Linked DNA regions of Drosophila melanogaster. The protein of the gene in region 4 purifies or fractionates together with the protein of the main gene of each other region. This does not show direct contact. Each region holds a gene or a part of one and is shown on either strand. Other genes may lie near its edges. The genes, in order: ldbr, Sf3b2, Cand1 and sima.

The links.
Region 1: the proteins of sima (region 4) and ldbr purify together in Drosophila melanogaster (affinity purification with mass spectrometry, with the first as the bait; one large-scale study listed by BioGRID). This does not show direct contact.
Region 2: the proteins of sima (region 4) and Sf3b2 purify together in Drosophila melanogaster (affinity purification with mass spectrometry, with the first as the bait; one large-scale study listed by BioGRID). This does not show direct contact.
Region 3: the proteins of sima (region 4) and Cand1 purify together in Drosophila melanogaster (affinity purification with mass spectrometry, with the first as the bait; one large-scale study listed by BioGRID). This does not show direct contact.

What each region holds. Positions count from the first base shown.
Region 1 is NT_037436.4:8,120,115-8,124,151, forward strand, and holds ldbr (lariat debranching enzyme), read left to right. Parts: upstream 1-1,712; 5' UTR 1,713-1,804; coding exon 1,805-2,001; intron 2,002-2,056; coding exon 2,057-3,464; 3' UTR 3,465-3,501; downstream 3,502-4,037. Other genes in the region: msk (moleskin), read left to right, coding at 1-108, 164-636, 701-897; CG7550 (uncharacterized protein), read right to left, coding at 3,623-4,037. UniProt on the Drosophila melanogaster protein: Cleaves the 2'-5' phosphodiester linkage at the branch point of lariat intron pre-mRNAs after splicing and converts them into linear molecules that are subsequently degraded. It thereby facilitates ribonucleotide turnover.
Region 2 is NT_033779.5:3,025,742-3,030,873, forward strand, and holds Sf3b2 (splicing factor 3b subunit 2), read right to left. Parts: upstream 3,428-5,132; 5' UTR 3,347-3,427; coding exon 3,323-3,346; intron 3,266-3,322; coding exon 2,625-3,265; intron 2,568-2,624; coding exon 1,598-2,567; intron 1,542-1,597; coding exon 1,297-1,541; intron 1,234-1,296; coding exon 864-1,233; 3' UTR 511-863; downstream 1-510. Other genes in the region: Prp40 (pre-mRNA processing factor 40), read left to right, coding at 1-28, 91-375; CG17219 (uncharacterized protein), read left to right, coding at 3,679-4,191, 4,244-4,654; GABPI (beta4GalNAcTB pilot), read left to right, coding at 5,019-5,132.
Region 3 is NT_033779.5:10,357,634-10,364,504, forward strand, and holds Cand1 (Cullin-associated and neddylation-dissociated 1), read right to left. Parts: upstream 5,075-6,871; 5' UTR 4,875-5,074; coding exon 4,830-4,874; intron 4,765-4,829; coding exon 4,381-4,764; intron 4,323-4,380; coding exon 4,033-4,322; intron 3,952-4,032; coding exon 3,789-3,951; intron 3,729-3,788; coding exon 2,370-3,728; intron 2,306-2,369; coding exon 1,078-2,305; intron 1,016-1,077; coding exon 869-1,015; intron 805-868; coding exon 674-804; 3' UTR 501-673; downstream 1-500. Other genes in the region: ClpP (caseinolytic protease proteolytic subunit), read left to right, coding at 1-152; pim (pimples), read left to right, coding at 5,466-5,505, 5,569-5,892, 5,956-6,191. UniProt on the Drosophila melanogaster protein: Key assembly factor of SCF (SKP1-CUL1-F-box protein) E3 ubiquitin ligase complexes that promotes the exchange of the substrate-recognition F-box subunit in SCF complexes, thereby playing a key role in the cellular repertoire of SCF complexes.
Region 4 is NT_033777.3:30,061,014-30,065,957, reverse strand, and holds the start of sima (uncharacterized protein), read right to left. Parts: upstream 3,037-4,944; 5' UTR 2,881-3,036; coding exon 2,420-2,880; intron 1-2,419. UniProt on the Drosophila melanogaster protein: Functions as a transcriptional regulator of the adaptive response to hypoxia. Binds to core DNA sequence 5'-[AG]CGTG-3' within the hypoxia response element (HRE) of target gene promoters.

The DNA.
Region 1 (4,037 bases), on a different chromosome or scaffold from region 4:
TCCCCAGTTGCTGCTGTCCATTCTGGACAAAATGTCCCAGCAAAACAACGACTCTATCAGCGCGCACTTTATCAAGCAGTGGCTTCACGACACGGACTGTTTCCTAGGGTAAGAATGGACATGCTTTTTAATGATCTAGATAGTTTATTGTTACGTTTTCCAGCATCCACGATCGCAAACTTTGCGTCCTGGGTCTGTGCACCCTCATCTCGCTGGGCGAAGCCAAGCCCCAGGTTCTGAGCGAAGTGGCTGGAAAGATTGTGCCCGCACTTATTTTGCTTTTCGATGGTCTAAAACGCGCCTACGAGTCTCGTGCTCAGGAGGAAGAGGAAGATGAGGAGGAGGAGGACGGTGACGACTGTGAGGAGGCTCTGTCCAGTGACGAGGATGACATGGACGAAATGGCACCGGACTATCTGGATAAATTGGCCGAATTTGCCAAAACCAAGGGCAATGAGTCGGGCTTCGAAGTGAAAGCCGAAATCAAGGACGACGATGCTGACTCGGACGGTGACGCCGAGGAGTCTGTGGGTGATCTGAACGAGACTGGACTGGAGTCGTTTACCACGCCCATCGACGATGAGGAGAACGAAAGCGCCATCGATGAGTACTGGACGTTTAAGGAAGTTATTACTGGTAAGTTGTGCTGAATTTTGTACACCATTGGAAAACTAACTAATAACCTAATCTTCGCCATCAGCACTTTCTGCACAAGACCAAGCCTGGTATGCGCTGTTGACCTCCAACCTCACACCTGAGCAAGCCAAGGCGCTGCAAGAGGTGGTGGTGACGGCTGACCAACGCAAAGCCGCCAAGGAATCGAAGCTGATCGAGAAGCAAGGTGGCTTCGCCTTTCCGCAGACTGCCGTGCCCACGTCGTTTAAGTTCGGCTCCTAAGAAACTGAATTGACCAGATCACCAGACACTTGGTTCGATTTCTGACTTGATTGTTTCTCATATTCTTTCCAAAAATAACAAAAACATCAAACAAAATACATCTGGCATGCTGATGATGGCTTTGAAGGCATTCTCTTGGTTTTCGTACACTCCGTGTACCCATGTATGCTGCGACAATCGGTCGATTAATCAGATTAAAAAATCGATCGGTCGAGCGGCGACGAGACCGCACTATATTTATTGTAGATTTATATTTTATTTCCTATTTTGTGGCCAGGGCGGCCAACTAAATTATGATAACTTAAGTCCATTGTAAATCTTTGTATGTAAACGAAACGAAACGAAACGAAAAACAAACACGTCAGGACGAGAAGGTCTCATTAAATGAGATTGTGCCCACCAGCACGCCCCCGTAGAACTCCAAAAAAAAGTTGGCATCTAGGTCAGAGAATGAGAATTCAACGCAGAGCATTTCACATACATTTTCTTTATACACACATACACGTATATTCTGTACTAAATGAAGCGATATTTTTGAAAAATAAAAAAAAAAAATTTTTAACGTTTGAACTGGAGAAATCTTTTTCTTATTTGTGTACCTTTTTGTGAGGTATTTAAACCGTTCAGGGAACGAATTTTATAAGTACATCTAATATATATAATTATATTTAATAATGCTAAGTGCTGAAAGACTTTGTTTCCGGAAGATTTCAGCAGTTTAAATATTGGCGGTCATTAAGTAGAGTTATCGATAAGAGCGTCCATCCTGTCGTTCCCCAAAGACGTTTTCTCACACTGAATTGCCGATCGATAAGCGATATCAGAACGCGTTATTTGTTTGGACAACCGGTTGCATTTGTTTACAACCAAGTTTTATTTATAAAGTAGTAACTTACCTTTATTAACCATGAAAATAGCTGTCGAAGGATGTGCACATGGCGAGCTGGAACGAATATACGACACCATAGAGGGCATCGAAAAGGTTGGCGGCACCAAGATCGACTTGTTATTGTGCTGTGGCGATTTTCAGTCCACCCGGAATCTGGAGGATTTGCAGACGATGGCTGTACCAAAGAAGTACCTGGATATGTGCTCCTTTTACAAGTGAGTAGAGTTTCGACAGCTTGTGGATCAGGAGGTAATCCATTTATTTTTAAAGATACTACAGTGGCGAGCTGGTAGCACCAGTGCTGACCATATTCATTGGCGGCAACCATGAGGCCTCCAATTACCTGCAGGAGCTCCCATACGGCGGTTGGGTGGCTCCAAATATTTACTACCTTGGTTATGCCGGCGTCGTCAATGTAAACGGTGTTCGGATAGCTGGAATAAGCGGAATCTTCAAGGGTCACGACTTTTTGCGCGGCCATCACGAATTCCCTCCGTATACCGATTCCACGTGTCGCAGTGTCTACCATGTGCGGCAGCTAGAAGTCTTTCGGCTGAAACAAATTTCCGGGCGAGTTGATATTTTCCTGTCCCACGACTGGCCCACCGGCATCTATGAATACGGAAACAAGGCGCAACTGCTCCGCAAGAAACCATTTTTTGCTGCAGACATGGAAAGCGGGAAGCTGGGTAGCCAGCCACTGGAGGAGTTACTGAAAGCGGTCCAACCGGCCTACTGGTTTGCTGCCCATTTGCATTGCAAGTTTGCCGCTTTGGTGCCGCACAATCACAGCCAGAAGCTAGGAGATGCTGAATCTTCCTCTTCCAGCAGCAGCAGTGAAGATGAAGACGAGGAAAGGGAGAAGGTAAAGAAAGCTGCTCCTGTACCTCCACCATCCAAATCTGTTCCCGTGACCAAGTTTCTGGCTCTCGACAAATGCCTGCCACGTCGTGCTTTCCTGCAAGTGGTAGAGGTACCCAGTGACCCCATCGAAGGCACTCCCCGCCTGGAATACGACGCAGAGTGGCTAGCCATCTTGCACAGTACAAATCACTTGATTTCAGTGAAGGAGAATTATTATTACCTGCCCGGAAAAAAGGCGGGAGAGTTTACAGAGCGATCAAACTTTACCCCCACTGAAGAAGAACTAGAAGCAGTGACCGCAAAGTTTCAGAAACTTCAAGTCCCCGAGAACTTTGAGCGCACAGTGCCAGCTTTCGATCCCGCGGAGCAGTCTGATTATAAGCACATGTTTGTGGATCAACCCAAGGTTCAACTAAACCCCCAGAGCAATACGTTCTGTGCCACTCTGGGTATAGACGATCCGCTGTGCTTAGTTTTGTTGGCGAATGGCCTAGATCTGCCTGCGGTGGGAGCTACCGAATGCAAGGATAGGGAAACAAAAAGTTCTAAGCTGCAGGCGGTGGAAGAAGACGTGGCTGAACCATTGGTTACGCCAACTAAAAGGAAACTTAACTTATCCCTGCCAGCACCTACAACTGCAGCAGCTGATACCACCGATGAAAACGTGATAGACCTGCCCGAGGAGGAAGCTGAAGAAGCAATTATAGCAACGGAAACGCCTCATGTAGAGGAACCTGCATCAGTGCCCGCTAGTCCCAATGTGAAAAAACTTAAGCGACGCAATCAGAACATTTACCAAGCGCAAGAAGATTAAACCCAAACAAATTCCGTGAAAGCGGAGCGATTTATACAAAAAAAGGAGGCAATTTTATTTAAATAACACAGAAGATACTTGGCTGATACGATCAGCCAACGGTTGATTATGGGCAAATAAATAGGAGGGTGTTAGCTGCTGGGAAGCGAGATAACGACTCACTGTGTCCCGCTGGCATTATCGGCATAGACCTCGTCGGCGCACTGAAAAGCGGCCTGCATCACCGATTCGGGCGTGTCCACAACATCGCAATAGTATGTATCCGGTGATGGGATGCAGTGCAGCTGCACCTGGCTGCCCTCTGCCGTGGCGCGATAGAAGCGACACTGTCGCGGTCCATATGTTGGCATATCCGCATCGTATGGCGGACTAAGAATGTCGAAGAAAGCGGCTACGCCGCTACCAATTTGGGCAATCTGGTGGTAATTTCTCTTTCTAGGAGTCAATGTGGCACACGGACTAGCCGGCGTGACCAATTTGGGTTCCTCGACATTCACCTTCACCACTGTTTGATGGGGGTCATAGGTGAGCGGCTCATCCGGGCCTAACTGGTGCGAAAAGCTGTCCACCATT
Region 2 (5,132 bases), on a different chromosome or scaffold from region 4:
AAAGAAGCGCAAGAACAAACTGCGAGGTGTACGTAGCAAGTCGGCCCAGTCCTTGGACAACTATACTATCTAACATGGCTTACATTTCAGTCCTCCTGCGAATCGGATGTTCCAGGCATTCAATCGCCGGGAACTCAAGCTCTACTTCAGAACGACTCAAACTCGCACTCACCCGCAAAGAAAAAGAAGAAGGAGAAGCGAGCTAAGAAGGACAAGCGACACAACAGGCACAATCGATCCGGCACGCCCCTTAGTCCTGCCCAGTCCGTCGAGTCGTCTGGATCGCGAAACGAGGAGCTGACGTTAAGTGACGGCGAGCTGGAATCGAAGCGAGCGGCTCTTCTAGCCCAACTCAGCGAGCAGCTCGACGAGTGACCAGCTGACAGGCGTTGAGTCAAAGCCGACATCGACATCGTGTGGCACTCTCTAGCTCTAGCTTAAGGAGGATCGGGAGAGGTAGCTAGCCCTGGACTCAGTTGCTGGACAAGTTCTCTTTTCAGTCCTTGCCTTCCACTGCACTCTGCTTCGTTTGGTTTAGATACTGTCCTGGTCCCAGCACAAACCACACAGCGAACCACAATTGTAATTTCTTAGTCTCAATAAGTTTCAATGTATAAATGAGAATTAAACCTAACGAGTCAAATTTTAAGTTATACGCAAATGATTTTGATTCTGCATCAAAATAAACAAATTACGATAGAAATTACAAGATAAGATCTTTTGTGTTAACTTCACTTTTTGCAGAACCTATTTTAAATCCTCGCATTTAAATTGAATGACGCGAACTTATTGTAGTTTTTACTATGTTTAATGACATCCTTGACAATCGCACAAATGGAAAAGTTGTATTTCTTGTTGTCAAACTAAAACTTGAACTCCTTGTACTTCTTTGTGGTCTTGGCCGGATCCGTTTGCTGTCGCTTGCGCTTCGATTTCTGCCGCGCCACATGTTCGGCCAACATGTCTGACAGATCCTCCTTTTGCAGGTGATTCTGCTGCTCACGCATTTGTTGCTCATAACGCTGGGCCATTGCGTCATTGTCCAAGTCCAATTCGCTAGGATCGAGAGCCAGTTCCACAATGCCCTCGCGATCTGTGGTTGATCGAACTGGGGGCTGTTTGTTAGCCCCACTGCCACTGACGTCGTAGACATGGGTTGATCCCATCATGGAAGCCCCTATGCGGTCGGTGCGCTTCTCAGGCAGCACTTGATACAGAACAGGAGTTTCGTTGCTAGGAGAAGTTGGAATAATGGGCTTAATCGTGATGTTATTTTAAAAATATTAGTTCACTTACTCCTCCATCTCGGCTTCAATTTTCTTCTTGCGAAGCTCAATGTTCTCGGGGGTTTCCATGCCAGCTGGAACACTGGTGAGTCCAGAGGGTGTTACTAGTCCCTCTACTGGCGTTACCAGGCCAGTCTCATCCTGCTGATCGCCCAAGTCCTCGCCATCTTCCTCTTCCTCCTCGGATGATTCTTCTGACTCCGATTCCAGTTCGCCCCATTGGTTACGTTCAATGTCAGCTTCGTCTACGCCATTCTATAAAAAAACAATGACATTAAAACAAGAAGTGCTACGCGAATGTTGCCACTCACATCAAGGTCCAATATGTTGGTTCCAAATACGTCACCGTACAGCGGTTTTCCGTTCTCATCCACTGGCGGCTTGCCCCAACCTCCGGCATGATAACCGAACGAGGTTCCGTCTGGGATCGGAGCATTCAGGCCAGGAATTTTAAGATTCGGATACGAGGGCGGCGGCCCGTAGCGCTGTTGAGCAATGAGCCATGGTGGCGGAATCTTGTGTGAGTTGGGTCCCACGGGCATTCCCAGAGCAATGCGCAACTCCTCGGAGAGATCTCCGGGCTTCTTTTCCTTAAGGCGTGTCTCAAACTCCTTGCCCTCGTAGTAGAGGTCGCCATGAATGGTCATGCGGGGCTTGGTCTGCCACTTGAAGAAGGCATCGTGAAGTTTCTGGTAGTCAATGTCAATTTTGCCCATCTTGGGACGGACGCGTTCACGCATCTTGGCCTTGAGTGTCTTGGCGTCCTCTCGTTCCTGCAACGATTCGCGCATCTCCATGATGCCCGTCTTTTTGATGAAGGCGGGGAGATCGAACGGAGGCTTCTCAATACCCCTTTTGCCCTGCAGATATTTTCGCTTGAAGCACCAATGCCGCGGCACTTGTACTGTGTTCCTATAGGCTTTCAGTTGAACCAGTAGTTTGGGATCTCTCGCTGTGACATCGTGCATCTCCACTACGTCAGGTCGAGAGACCAGTTGTTTCAGTTCTGCCACACTCAAACGGGTCAGTTTCTTAAGTTTCCGCTTGGACAGCTTCTCCTTGTCTTCCTTGCGCTCTTCGTCATCATCGCCGTCATCGTCCTCGTCCTCGAGCTGTTTGTCTGTAGCCTTTTTGTCCCTGGGATGGGACTCAGAATCGTGCGAAGATTTGTCCTTCTCCACAGGCTTTGGTTTGTTTTCCAGCTTGAAGATTTCGAACACACGATAAAACTGGCGGTACATTGGCGCCAAATCGGCAATGGTTATCTTTTCGGGCACATATCTGAAAGGGATAAGAGTTTATTAGTGTGGTTCCTCGGAACGAGCTGCTATGACTTACTCAATGGTCACATTTTCATCATTGGCCTCGCCAGCCTTTTTGTCCGTATCTTTCTCATCACTACGATCCTTCCTGCGCTTGCTGCGACTCTCTTTGCGTTTGTCCTTCTTTTCCTTTTCGGCAACCTGTTCGTCCTCGCTGCCATGGGCTTTTGTCTCCGAGTCCTTGGCCTCCGGTTCGTTCTCCTCCGCTTGGGCCAACTGCTGCTGCCGTGCGAACTCAATCTGGTGGCGTATCTTCCTGTTCTGCTTCTTTCGCTTCTTCTTCTTTTTGTTACGCTCCGCCTTGCTCTGCTTGCCGGTCTTTTGGCTGGCACTCCCGTTCACCTGGTTATCCGCATCCTCCTCGCTGTCCTCGCCCACATCCGCTTCGTCGCCGTCCTGGGTAGCACCCCCACTGCCACCCTGCGAATCGGCGTCCACCGTGAACTCGGCTGCCCTTTGATCCTTCAAAGCCAGAACGTCCTCCAAGGCCTTGGGCAGGACCAGTTCTCCGGGCGTTTTTTCGGCATCAACAGCATCTTCGGAGGCATCGCCGTCGCCATTGGCATTACCATTGCCGTTCTCATTTCCATTGGCCGCCGCACTTTCGTGCTGCTGCTGGTCGAAGCGAATGGACATGAGCGGCGTGGGTTGGCCGGGCTGGAAGGATTGGCATTCAATAGATGTCTTGCCGATTGGGTTTCGCAGCAAACTCACCTCGTTGTTCAACTGGTCCGCCATAAATTAAATTAATCTTTAAAAACCCAAACCGAGCCGAAATTTTTTTATAAACCACAATTCTAGTGATGCGCGACAAGATATTTTTGTACCACCGAGACATATCGATATATTCGATATGAAAATGCGAGACCCTAAATCAAGCTGGCAACGCAAAGGACAGGGCGATCTTAGTACGAAAAGCGTGGTTTTTGCCGACAGCTGATTTAAGGAGGTAAATATTAAAATATTTCATAGATTACCAGTTTAACAATGCTAATTTGTCCATTTCAGTACGATATTTAACAAGCAGTATCTGCTAAAATCAAAACAGTTCAACACCCTACCTTCTAAGCATGTTCAAATTTAATTTTGATGTGAAGGCGGAATCCTCGGAAGATCCAGAGGCCGTTAAAAATGATATTTTTAGCAAGCAGGAAAATTCAGAAGAACGTGAGTCGGGTATCACAAAGGATATAGATTGGTACAATTCGGAGAAAGTACAACCACTGGATAACCTAATTTCGGCAATGGATTTCTATGAGCTTAACGCCAAGGAAATGGAGGTGGGAAAGATGACGATAAAACATCTTGTGGCCGGGTTTCTGCTGGAGGATTTAAAGGAGCAATCCCACTTGGTAAACCTGGATCTCAGGAAGTCTGAGGAAAATCATTCAGATCTGATTTCCGGTGTCTACGAGGGCGGTGCTAAAATATGGGAATGCACTGAAGATCTTCTACTATATCTATCCGAAAAGTACGAGGACTCATTCTGGAAGGAGAAAAGAGTCCTAGATTTGGGATGTGGCTGCGGATTGCTGGGTATATATGCTATGAAACACGGCGCACGGGTGGATTTTCAGGACTACGTAAGCAAACAATAAGTCTTGAAATAGTTTGGTTGCAATCATATATTTTCAGAACAAAGATGTGCTGGAATACATAACATATCCAAATATCCTGCTAAATTTGGACGACTCTTTATCTGAAGATGAAAAGCTGAAATTTTTAGACAACAGTACAACCTTATATTCTGGAGATTGGTCTCATTTTGCTGAACTATCAAGGGATGTGGCGAAATACGATCTAATACTTACCTCTGAGACTATATACAATATTGCAAATCAGCAAAAGCTCTTGGATACCTTTGCTGGTCGCTTAAAATCCGATGGAGTCATTTTGGTTGCCGCAAAATCTCATTATTTTGGAGTTGGTGGCGGCCTGGAACAGTTTTCAGAGAACATTAGGCTGGGAAATGTTTTCCAAAGTGAGAGTGTTTGGCAGGCAGACGAAAACTTAAAAAGAGGAATCTTGCAATTGAAATTTAAATAAAATATATTTTGGAATTATTTATAACACAATTCTTAAACTTTGTAATAATGATAAGAGATCTAAGTTCAAAACATAGCGGTAGCATAAAACAAGTTGGCAGCCCACTTTACACGGGGCACCCTGTAAGGGAGGGACGTTCGTCAGCTGTGTTGTTGTAGTTGTCGTTATTCCGGAGAAATTGTAAGCAAATTCGTTGTACTCCAATAAAACAATTAAAATGGACCCACCCGGATCTGATAATTACTTTTGAAACATTTCTCCACTCGGCCAGTAGGGCGTGCACTAATCTAATCTAAACTGTTTCCGTACACGCTGCTCGGAACTCATTAAAAAACGTTCGCCGCGCCATTTCCTGTCCAAATCGATGTTCTTGATGACAGCCGGCACCTCCAATTTTCTTTCTGCAGCCTGGAGATCAGAGGCTGAGGAGTCCAAGAGTAAGGAGAACGGGAGTCTCTGCTGCTGCGAGTACGTGGCT
Region 3 (6,871 bases), on a different chromosome or scaffold from region 4:
AGGAGGCAAAAGTGCTGGGCATCATTGACCACGTGCTTGAACATCCTCCAGAGACTGTTTCCGAAACGGGACCCGCGTCGGACGGCGGCGTCACCTCCGGCAAAGCCGTGCCCGAGGAGTGCGAGAAGAAGAGAAGCAAGCAGGCAGCCTAAATTTCCACCTTCCTATAGACCAAAATTCAATCATAAGTTCGAAACAATTTGAATAATTCAGTTTTCCACAGAATATACACTTTCCAAATACACCATGTCGACTTTCTCATGATTGAGCATTATTAATATTGCATCATTAATGTTTAAAAGCCTTTACGTAATCAGTTGCTCTTAGTTAAGAGAGGATGAACTGGAATTATCGTTATCTGATTGAAGAGCTAGTCTCTTTCAGGAAGAGCAAATGGATCCTATCATCCATCATTCTCCCTCGTTAAAATGCTAAACCAATCAATAAACTTTTAGTAAAATTCATAAACACAGTACTCAATACGGCATTTGTTTGTTTTTGGTTGTCGGTAGTTTTTGGGAGTGGTTTACTGTTTACTAATTAACTCTTTCAAGTCGATCTGCATTTATTTCTTATTAGAAAATTTAAAAGCTATATCAGAAAAAGAGATACTTGTTTGTGCGCAAACGCATATTCTTAATTAAGTAAAGGAATTTGAAACCAAGTTTCCCTTTTAACTCTGATCCATTACTATAATATCTGAGCTACCGGTGATGGAATCCTTCTGTATGTACTCGAAGATCTTGTTTAATTCCGGTGTTTCTTTGATCGACTTGAGGAAATCCACTAACTGCTGATTTTTGTCTATTGAAGAGGAATTTCAATTAGTTTATTTTCAGATACAATGTTCTTCAATATTTTTACTTACTTGCTTTGGGTATTTGCGAAAGGGCCGAGACTGCACGAAGGGCAGAACGCTTGAGTTCGTCCTGCTTTTCGTACTCCTGTTTCACAGAGTTGGCCTTCACCTTGTGGGTGCACGTATCACGTAGTTGCTGTATAAATTGATCGAGTCCTGAAAGAATTGAGCAAAGTGAATAAGAGATCTCAAGTAATCAAGGCTTTGGTACTACTCACTTAGCAGAACCTTATCCGGGCACAAGATGGCCAGACGTGCCGTCATCAGGTACGTCAGCATCTTGATGTCGTAGTGGTCGCACAGACCAGCCTGGACATGGTCCAGGAACTGCATGACATCCACACGATCCAAGCCCTGCTCGAGAAGTGTGTACATGCATTCAAATGCCGCTTTGCGAATGTCGAGACCGTCGTCGACGGTGTGCTTGAAGGGACCCATCTCCACCTCCCTAATCAGTTCGCTCTTCACCTTCGTCTCCGAGTAGAGCCAAGGCAAAAGGGTGGGCAGCAAATCGCGCACCAAACTGGGCTTGTTGTGTACCGCCGAATTGAAGGCTACTAGTGCGACGCGTCTCACTTGGGGCTCCGGATCTCGCAGGGCAAATAGAAACTCGCCAATGTTCTGCTTGAGCAGAACATCAATGGGCTGCGGCTGATCGGAGATGGTAAACTTTACTGAGGAGACAACAACGGTGCGCATGGTGGCGCTTTCGGAACGCAATGCCTGCTGCAGTTGCGGCAGCAGCTCGTCGGGATTGACCAGCACCAGTTTGCCCAGGCACTCGGCCACCACGTTGCGTGATCCCTCCTCCGAACACTCGCAATGCTTGAAGAGCTGATCCCAAATGGATGGCACCGAGGGTAGGAGCTGGGCGAGTCCGCTGGGCGATACCGATAGCGATGAAATGACCTCCTTAAGCGAATGTAGCAGCAAATACTGTCTCTTCGGCTGCACCTCAATCTCGTGCAGAATCAGAGGCAGGTATGTCTGCAGGCTGCCCACGGACACAGCGCCGAGAGCATGCGAGGCTGCAGCCTTTACATCCTCCGAGGTGGCCCCAAAGCATTCAATAATTGTCTGCGGCAGCACCTGTATGGAGCTCAGATCAAAGTGCCTGCCAATCTCACCGATGGTGAGCAAACAGAATATGATTTCCGTATCGTTACGCTTCTGCAGATCCGTTATCAGCTTTGTGGCCAATGGGGTCGCCACCTGGGGACACTGCTGTGTTAAGGCAGCAATGCACTTGGCCGATGAGTGATAGGCCTGCTTGTGCAGCTGCACCACCTCACTGGGAGCGCCGGCAGTGGCTCTGGATTTGACGTCACCGTTGCCACCCAGAACTGGTGCCATTAGCTTCGAAACGAGCGAATGATAGTCCAGGCCAGACAGCTGTGTTTGCACCAAGGCCTGGAACAGCTCCAACGTGCAATTCAATGCGGATCCCTGTAGCAAAGAAATCAGTTATTAGTTTTGCTAATTACTCAGCTGTTAATTAAAATTCACCCACCTGCAGCAAAGGAGATCGAACCAAAATGAGCACGGAGCGCAAGAACTGCTCATGTATGCCGACCAGAGCTTGGGGCTGCCTGCGAGCTACGGTGCTCAAAAGCGTCAGAGAGTACTGGGCTACGTGCAAATCCGAATCCGATATAAGCGGTGGGATCTCAACTATGGCTGTCTGCAGAAGGTTCGCCTCGAAGTTGCTCGAATAGTTGATGACGATCTTGTTGATCAGATCGAGGGAGTGCAGCTTGAGGGCGCGGTGGTTCTTACGCAGGAATGTGCCCAATGCGGGCAACACGTCGTGCAGGATGGGTGTCAGATCTATGCGCAGGGACGAAGCTGCGATCAGGGTCAACGCCTTCACGCTGCTCAAACGGGTTACTTCGTTCTTTAGGCGCTCCATGAAGATTGGCAGGCAAACCGCCAGCTCATTCTGCAGCATGTCGCCCATGTTGGCGATAATCTGCCCCATGCAGGCTATGGCTCGCTCCTTTACCTCCTGGTCGACATCCGTCACTTTCAGTTTCTGCAATGTGCACGAGTAAACCTGACCCACAAACGATGGGGCATCAAAGTCGGACTTGGCCGCATTCGGTTCTAATGGACGAATCACCTTTACCAACTGCTGCAGCACCAAAAGCGCCTCGGTGGCAATCTTATAGAAAGGATCGAAGACCGAAGTCACTACGAGGGGCACCAGTAGGGGAATATGTGGATGAAAGACATGCGGCGGATGTCCTTGGAGCAGCGAGTAAAGGAATCCCAGAGATTCGATCTTCATGTTGCTGGTAGAGCTTTTGTCATTCAGCGAATAGCTTATGCCTGGCACAATGCTGTCCAAGTAGGGTCCCAGGGCACCTGGTAGCGAATTCAACAGCTCGCGCAGCAAGAGGAAGCAGTCTTGACGCGTTTTCATCGATTTTTCCCTCATTAACGGCTGTATGGCTTTCACAATGAGTGGCAGCTGCTCAATTAACAGCGAGGTCGGACCCGATACCTGATCCATTGAGTCGTGGTCGTTGGCCACGTCGTCGGTGAGGCGTGTGTTCTTTAGCAGGGCCACATAGGCGTGAAATATGTCGGACTTAACATTCTCCTCACGCTCCTTGAAGCGCGCAATCAAAGCCGGACTCAGGCTGCGATAGAAGTCCTCGACGAGCTCCTGCCGTGTGGATATCAAGACCTCCAGACACTTGGCTGCAGCGCGACGAACCTTCCAGCTCATGTCGTCGTCGTCACTGTACTCCTCACTATCGACGTACTCATCATCCTCCGTGTCCATGGCATTGCCAGTGTCGCCATCATCCGTCTCGTAGTTGTAGTTTGGATCGTAGGTGATATAGTTGAGGCACAGCTCCAGGATCTAACAAAACCCATAAGCTATTAAACGTGAATGAGAACATAAAGCATGTGTACTCCTTACCATGGGAATATGCGGGTTTATGGCATCTGGGCAGCGCATGACGAAAGCTTCGCAGGCCTGCAGACAAAACTCGCGCAGCTCATCGTCATCCCGCTGGCTGTACTGGCTCAGCAGGAGCATGGAGCGATCAATGTGATTGCAAAGTCGATGGCCAGCCTGTCGACTAAAGAGTAAAGTTAAATAAAATTGCATCTAAAGATCATATGGCATAAAATATATAACAATTTCAGGAATTGGAACTTACCATATCGAAGCCAGGCACTGAATGTAAGTTCGAATGGCAGCTGGATTTGGTGGGTTCTCTAGGCCATCGAGCAGATGATCGATGACACCGTTGTAGGCGTTGCTATTGGCCTGGATCAGCAGAAATGACAGGGCCACGATGGTACGCTTGCGAACAGCCTGGCGCGATGAGGCCAACTGGGGCATCAGAGCTTTCAGAATGGTGCTGTGGAAGGGAACGAGGAACTCCCCGAAGCGAGAGAGCAGATCGGCCAGAATGTCCAGCGACTCCAGTTTCACAGAGACGTCCTCCTATTAAGGAACAACGGATTAAACGTTTGGGTGCCTAGGGAATAGCAATATAACGCACCTTCTCAATTGCTGTGCTCAGTTTGCCGGTGATCCTTTGACAGACATTTGGGGCCAGGGAGTTTGAGGACTGCGGCAGCTCGGCAATCACTGTCTTTAGGCCAATACTCGATATGTCGCGCAGCTGCTCCGTGTTGGACATCATGTTGGCGCACAGCGAGTCCACGATGGTCTCCACCTGGATCTCCTTCACCTTGTTGACCAGGGGACCCAGGCACTTGACAGCCAGGTTCTGAACTTCGCCGTTCTTGTCTTCCAGCAGCTTGAGCACCATTCGCACCACCTTTTTCTCGGACTCGTCGTCCAGGATGATGCTATCCTTCTGTAGCTCCGTCATCAGATCGTTTGTCGCCATGAAACGGAAGTCCTTGTCCGTCGACGTCATCTGCAGCAGACGAGAGAGCGGAATTAGAATTTCGTTATGTTGCAAAAATGAAATTCTATACATACTTTTTCCAGCAAATTGGCAATTTGGTGGTACTGATGTGACGCCATAGCGAAGGCTTTGAAACGTTCGATCGATAGCAATTAACTGATAAGTGAAATATTGTGTATTTGTATTGGGCTGCCCTATTTTTGGTGTTCTAAAACTTGAAAATTTACTGAAATTTTTCCGGTATTGAATCTCCAAGTTTTATATTCACTCAATTTTGTTATAAAGGCTGCTTAAGTGGGCCCACTTTGAAAAACTAAAAAACCCACTTTATAATCCCTAATGCCTTTTGGATGCCGATAATGGTTTTGGTACATTTTCGTGGTATAAAATACGGTGGAGAAATATTTTGGAACAAGATTTTATGTACTAGTAAATTTTTATATTTAGGTTATTTTATTTTTGAGTTAATACATGACAATCAAAATATAAATATATATATTATCAAATATTAATTCCCAATTTATTTACTAGTAAAATACTTTGTGTCATTACCATCGTTTCAGATGAACGATATATCAGCTATGTGGCACTAAGAGTCTCCCATCTCTAGAAAAGTGCCGCTCGTTTTCAGGAATTATTTTAAACTAAACCGCAGCTCACTGCTAGAATTCAATCAAAATACCTTTTTAACACCAATAAATGCTAACAAAATGGATCAGATTTTAAACAAGGAAAACACCGGCATTAATTGTAAGTTGAATTAGGTTCGACTCCCGTTCGTGTTAGTAATTACATAGCCATTTATCATTGCAGTGCCAGCGAATCCCATTAAAAATGGAGTTCCTACAAATTCCGTATTGAAGAAACCTCTTGGTAACCTTGACAATGTGATGCACCAAACTCCTGGAATAACCCCGTTCAAAAGCACTTCTCTGAAACTCGAGGGTAGTATTGCCAAGCTTTCGCTGCGAAAGGCCCCCAAACAAAATGTGGTCAGCAGGGATCGCGAGGAAGTTAGGTATAAAACAAATAGCTGCTTTTTGGGCGCCTACGTATTGAATTGCGAATACAGAGTCGTCAATTTGTTCAACTACACTGACTTTCCGAACGAGAAATGTTTGAAGAACTGCAGCAAGCGTAAGTACCGCTCATATTAAACAACTCCCCTTGAAAATTGTACTATAAGTTGTATTATTACAGCGGTCACAGAGACCTGGTCGGAAAATCAAGAGGGCTATGAAGGACTATTGGATCAACTTTATCTTGATCTGCGCACATTGGAAAATAATTTGGAAAACAGATGCCTTCCGCCCCTAGATTTTACTGACCTGCCATACATATACAACACAGAAAACATGGAGCCTGCAGAGCCTGAATACTTATTAAATTTATATCCCCCATTGCCTAACTTGGAAGGCATTGATGTTCTATTTTAGATCCTTGTTTAAAAGTTCTATGATTAATTGTAGTTTAATATTTTTTAGCTAGGTATCTTTGTACTACTAATTAATTATTTATTAATGTTATGCTAAGAGAAACTGTTATACCATTAGCTATCCAAGTTTGTTGTCTCGAATCACATTTGTGAAAAATATTTTTTTTACGCTACAATATATTTAGTAGTTTAAGAACCGACATTAAGCCTCCAACAGGCAATTATATGTGTACGATGTACCTCGTTTGGAAGTGATTTTGAATTAAAGCAACTATAAAAACTAACTGGGAGATTAATTTATGGAGCTTTGGAGTTCAGTTGTGAATGTAAACAGAGTTTATTGCTTCCACCTTTTGTCTCTTGATATTTATCAGCATTCGCGGGGCTTAAGTATATTCACTCCGTTTATATTGAATTTGATATTTGGTGGAATAATTCTAATCTATTTTTAGGGTTTCCTCTGTGTTTGCCTAATATGAAAAGTTTATATTTATTTGGGAATTAAACATTTTTGTTCAGTAAACCAAAATATTTTCCCAGCTAGCTAGCTTTTGTTTGCATCTTGTTAGCCTTTTCCCGCTAAATGACGTCTGGCTTTTTTCTGGTGGCCAACAGTTGGCAACACTGCGGCACAGTAATGTATCCAGTTTTTTTTACATTGCTGCAGAAAGGTTTCTCGTC
Region 4 (4,944 bases):
AGTGGGCGAACTTGTATAATCCACGGGTGACGCCCATTTCAGCACGTATGTACATTTATTTCCTGGCATTTTGTTCAAAATTTGCCAACGCTGCTTTATTGATCCGCTGGGATGAAAAAAGACCTGAACACGTCAGGTGGTTCACTTGGGAAAATCTGCCCGGTAACAACGCGAAAATATCAAACTTTTTTGTTAACAAACCCTAAGTACCGCCTGTCAACGGAGGAGTCGCAATCATCAAAAGTCCATCATATCAGCCGACAAAGTCACAGTACAATATGATCTATTGTCAGTCTGCCGCCTGTCTAATAATGGCTTAAGTATCTATTAAAAACAGTATTCCCGTTTTCTTTTACTGTAAGTAAATAAATTGAATAAATCGAAGCAAACTACTTAGTTGTTGAACATAATCTTCTATTATGACATATTTAAATATGAGATAGGACCCCACTAATCGATCGATTGTAAACAGAGGAAATCTTAACATAAACAAATGCTAAACTTGACTTTGCACTCGAAAGAATTTCTATTATTAAAAGAGTATTCTGAACGCCCAGATAAAACGTTGATTAGGAAACTCTGTGAAAGTGAAGAAACAATGCATTCAAATAAATCAAAAATAAATAAAACAGAAACCAGTTTAGATAAGAGGGCTTTTCATTGTCAATCAACCAACTGATGGATGGAAACCAAAGTTTGAAGCGAAACTCGAATGGCTGCTCAAATAATTATTATATAGTATTATATTACTTCGCCAGCAAAGTGAATACTAATATAGGCGTAGACCCGTGGATTTCTATATATATTATATATGCATTAATAAACACAAATCCGATAGTTGCTAGCTCGTGGCCCATAGAAAGCGGCGGAGAGTGACTTTGAATTGCATGCTAATGGCCTGCTTAAATGGTGGGATATTCGCCGGGGGGGTGGGGTTTTGGTTTGGGAGGTATGCACATACATATATATATTTTCGATCGGCCCCATTGTCTGTTCATTAGAACAGAGGCAAGTACGGCATGTTAAATATTCTGCCTGCGCCAGCAGAATTGCCTTGTTATTGCCGCTGGTGCTGCTGCTGTTGTTGTTGCTAAGTATTTCCGCTCCAAAGCAGCTCAAAACACTGAACAAAATTAAGCTATAATATTGAAAGCACACCTTAATATGTGTACTACCCTTCCGTATGATGATTATAATGATGTAGTATGCTGATCTTAAGATACCATTTTCCGCACTTTGTGTATGAAATGAGTTTGAATATGCAAACACCACGATCGCCGCACGTGGCCATCTAAGTCCTGCTGGCTTATCCGACAACACCTTAGGATACTGACCCGCTGTTGTTTGAGTTTGAATTGCGAGCATTGCGAAATGTTGGCCAAGCTACCTCCAAGTGCGCCGTATCTCCGGGCGAGATATCAGCGAAAACACATAAAATACGACTCGAAGTGCTAATGCCAAGTTCATGGGACAGTAAATCGAGGCGCAACAGCGGGTCAGGGATGTTTGGTCTCTTCTTGGGAGCACCATATTGTGGGTGGAGTTCTTCGGGCAGCGCCGTCCTGCAATTGCGTCAGTTTGGTTTCGGCTCATTAGCATGGAGATGGGCCAGCCGAATTTGGCTTAAACGTGTGCAAAACGTAAATAAACCAAATCCGACTACCATTACGAAAACATTTGCTTGCTGCGCACGTTGCATGCAAAGTTTTCAAGGAGGTGAAGTCCAGGGAAAGGGGCTGTAATCTGCGTCAATCGCCAGATAATCGTATACATCAACCAGATGGATTGTGAAACCTTCAGCAGACCCCTAACGATAACTCCTTGGGAAATACCCCACATAAAATCATCGGCGGCAGATAACAATTACACAACAGCACAACTGACAAGCAATTTACTATTTCCACGCAACAATCGAAGTGAGAGAAAAAGTCTTTTCCAGCCCACAATCTTATAAACGGTACCTCTCTTGGGAATAACCCACCGAACCTTGACTCATACGACACCTCTCTCGCGCCATAGTTCCGTCCCCCTCGCCCTATCTTTTGCTGCGTATCTAAATATTATTATAAAAGCGATTCACAAATAAGCATAGATAAGTGCAGCGCCGTTTGCTTTCGGCTCGGGTTTTACAATGGAACACGGCCAATTTTCTAGGAGCTCAGCTCGTTCAGGTGCCTCCAGGAAAATGTAAATCGCTAGCGGCATTCGGCCACCGATTCTAACTGGTTTTTGTTTTGTTTACTTGAATGAGCTAGAGCTCTCCACAGTTATGTAACAACAATTATTAAGCAAAATTGTGTAAATATTCGTACTTGAATACTATTTGATAATGAGATTAAGGAATACCCTTCGTGAAAAACGCAAAATCACAGAATTACCCAAAACAACAAATTGACCAACCACTTTGGTCGTCACTCACATGAAATCCTCGATGTCGACAAACTGGGAGAACTGGCAAGGTTGAGTGTTCGTGGGCGCGTAGCCATAGCAGTAGGCGTAGCTCCAGGGGCGGCTTTCGCGACAGGGCGTGGCCACGTTCAGAAGCGATCCCCTCTGGCGATAGAAGGCGTCCTGGGGCTGCTGCTGATGGTACGGATGGTACCTTTGCATCCCAGTGGAGGACATATTGGGGCCGAGCATAGCGCCCACGAAGGGTTGGCTTCCGGGAGCAGGGCCATTGTAGAATGACCCGTTGCCAAAGTTCACAGTGGGTTCATTGATGGGCATTGGCCCAAAAGCTGGGCCATTTCTGCTCAGCTGCCGCTGCCGCTGCGGCTTGGAATCGCACTCGTAGAAACTAGAACCGGGGATCACATCTTCGCCGTAGAACGAAATGTCGCCGGTACACGAAAAATCGCAGCTCTCGAAGGAATTAAACATTGAGTGCGCTGGAATCCGGCTAAGCCCATCGATGATGAACACACACACGCGTGCGATAAGAGCTGATAGTGTTTTGATTTGGCCACAACTTCACTGCTCCGGATATTTTGGTAGAACACGACGTACGGGAGTTCGAGCGCTAAATGAGCGAAAGGTTCCATAGCCTCGAAGCCATCATATTTATACCTGGGCAGCCGCACCAAAAAAAATCGCAAAAGAGCGGAGAGCCGACGTGAACGTCATATTCCGTGTGCTATCAGACAAGTTTGCCTATCCGGACAAGTGCGCTCCGGCCGGAGTGATAAGATAAAGTCCGGTCCGCCCGCCTCGTAGAAGCATTCAGGTGGCAGGGAGCCAGCGCTTCGGTTCTGCCCAATGGGACGATAACAGCGAATCGAGTGAGTGGCGGATTCAAATTAGAGCCATATAAATTATGTCAGTGCGCCCCACTTCAGTCGATAATTGGCTCGGACCATATAGTCTACTTTGCAGCGACGCCGGAAAATTTCCGCACGTCCAGGACCCATTTTCCGCCCATTTCCCTCGCTCACAAAGTGCAGTGCACGGCAAAGTCATGTTATAATTTTAGAATCTCTGCACCGAGAAAACAGTGCCACTCACTTCGAAGTGAAAATTTGATATAATATTCCAAAATTTTGAGTATTTAACCGCAGAACTGATGAACCATTTTTAGGTATTTCGAAAACTAACCAAAATTCGCACACACAAAATGAGAAGAAATATTAGAGAATTGATCTTTTTCACTGTGCGAGAAAAGCTGCTTGGATGACTAAATACTATCAGACTTATCCATGATTTCCCTAGTCGGCCGATAAGAACTATAACATAGGAGTTAAATATTTGGATTAGTTTGGCAAACAGCACGGAAAGTGAAACGAGATAAGGGAAGCTAGTTCCCCAGACCAAGCAAACGTAATCAAATCGCAATGTAATCAGCTCGTGGAGAAGGCAAAGGAACAGGCAGGGTCAACTTAAATCACTACGATAACCCCTTGTTTACCTGTTTATGCTACACCCGTCTATCACTAAACTATTTCGATGTTTAAATGTATTTCATATAAAAAAACAGTAAAAGTAGTTATTAACATTGTGAGCTTCTTGGGCTTCTCTTTTTGCAGATTGCCAGGAGTCCTTGTGATCGTTAGCTATGGTCTCATCTTGCATCATTCAAGGACTATCTTATAGAAGGTCTGTCAATCCTTTAGGTTGCTACAGTAACACCCGACGACGACCAATTAATTCGAAAGATGTCGTAAGAAGTTCATTGAGTTGTGGCAAGACCAGTGGTTAATACTTAATCCAAAGGAATAGCTGTTTACAACAGAACATCGTAAAGATCTTATCCATTCCCAAGAAAGAAGTTCCTTTGTTCTTGTTAATGTTGTTAGCAAAAAAATGACTTCCAAACAGGTTTCGCAATAATCTTAATCCGAAATTTTTGCTCATTTCACAAAACCTGTGGGGAATTTTCAGCGACTGATTCCAATTTATCGCCTTAAATATAAATTTAAACTTTCCCTGCCAGCAATTGCCGAATCATAACTTACACCGAATGCGATGCATATAGACCTCACACGCAACTGAACAAACGAAAAAGATTCGGAAGCTGCGCTACCTTCACGCTGTCTCCCTCACTCCGCTTATATACGTCTCTCTCGCTGCATCAAGTTCAATTTCATACAGAGAAAGAAAATTAATAGACAAATATATTGAATATGGTACAGTAAGACTAATTTATCTTTTTCTAAGAGAGCGACTGAACTTCGGATTTTACTATTTGAAATTTGATTACCAGTTATTTTTTTCAGTGCTCCAGTAGCAAGCAAGAGTGTAAGCATGTAAGGAGAAGAAGGAGAAGATCAACAATAACTCCACGAGCCTAATACTTGAATACAATGCCATCCATCTTTCTCTTTCTCCCTACATATACAATATATATGTAGTAGCACCATAACACCCCCTCGGGCGTTTCCATCCTCCCCGGATCGTCACATTTTTAGTTCGATTGCGCAAAAAGTAGGTCGTCGTGGCCAGACATGAAAC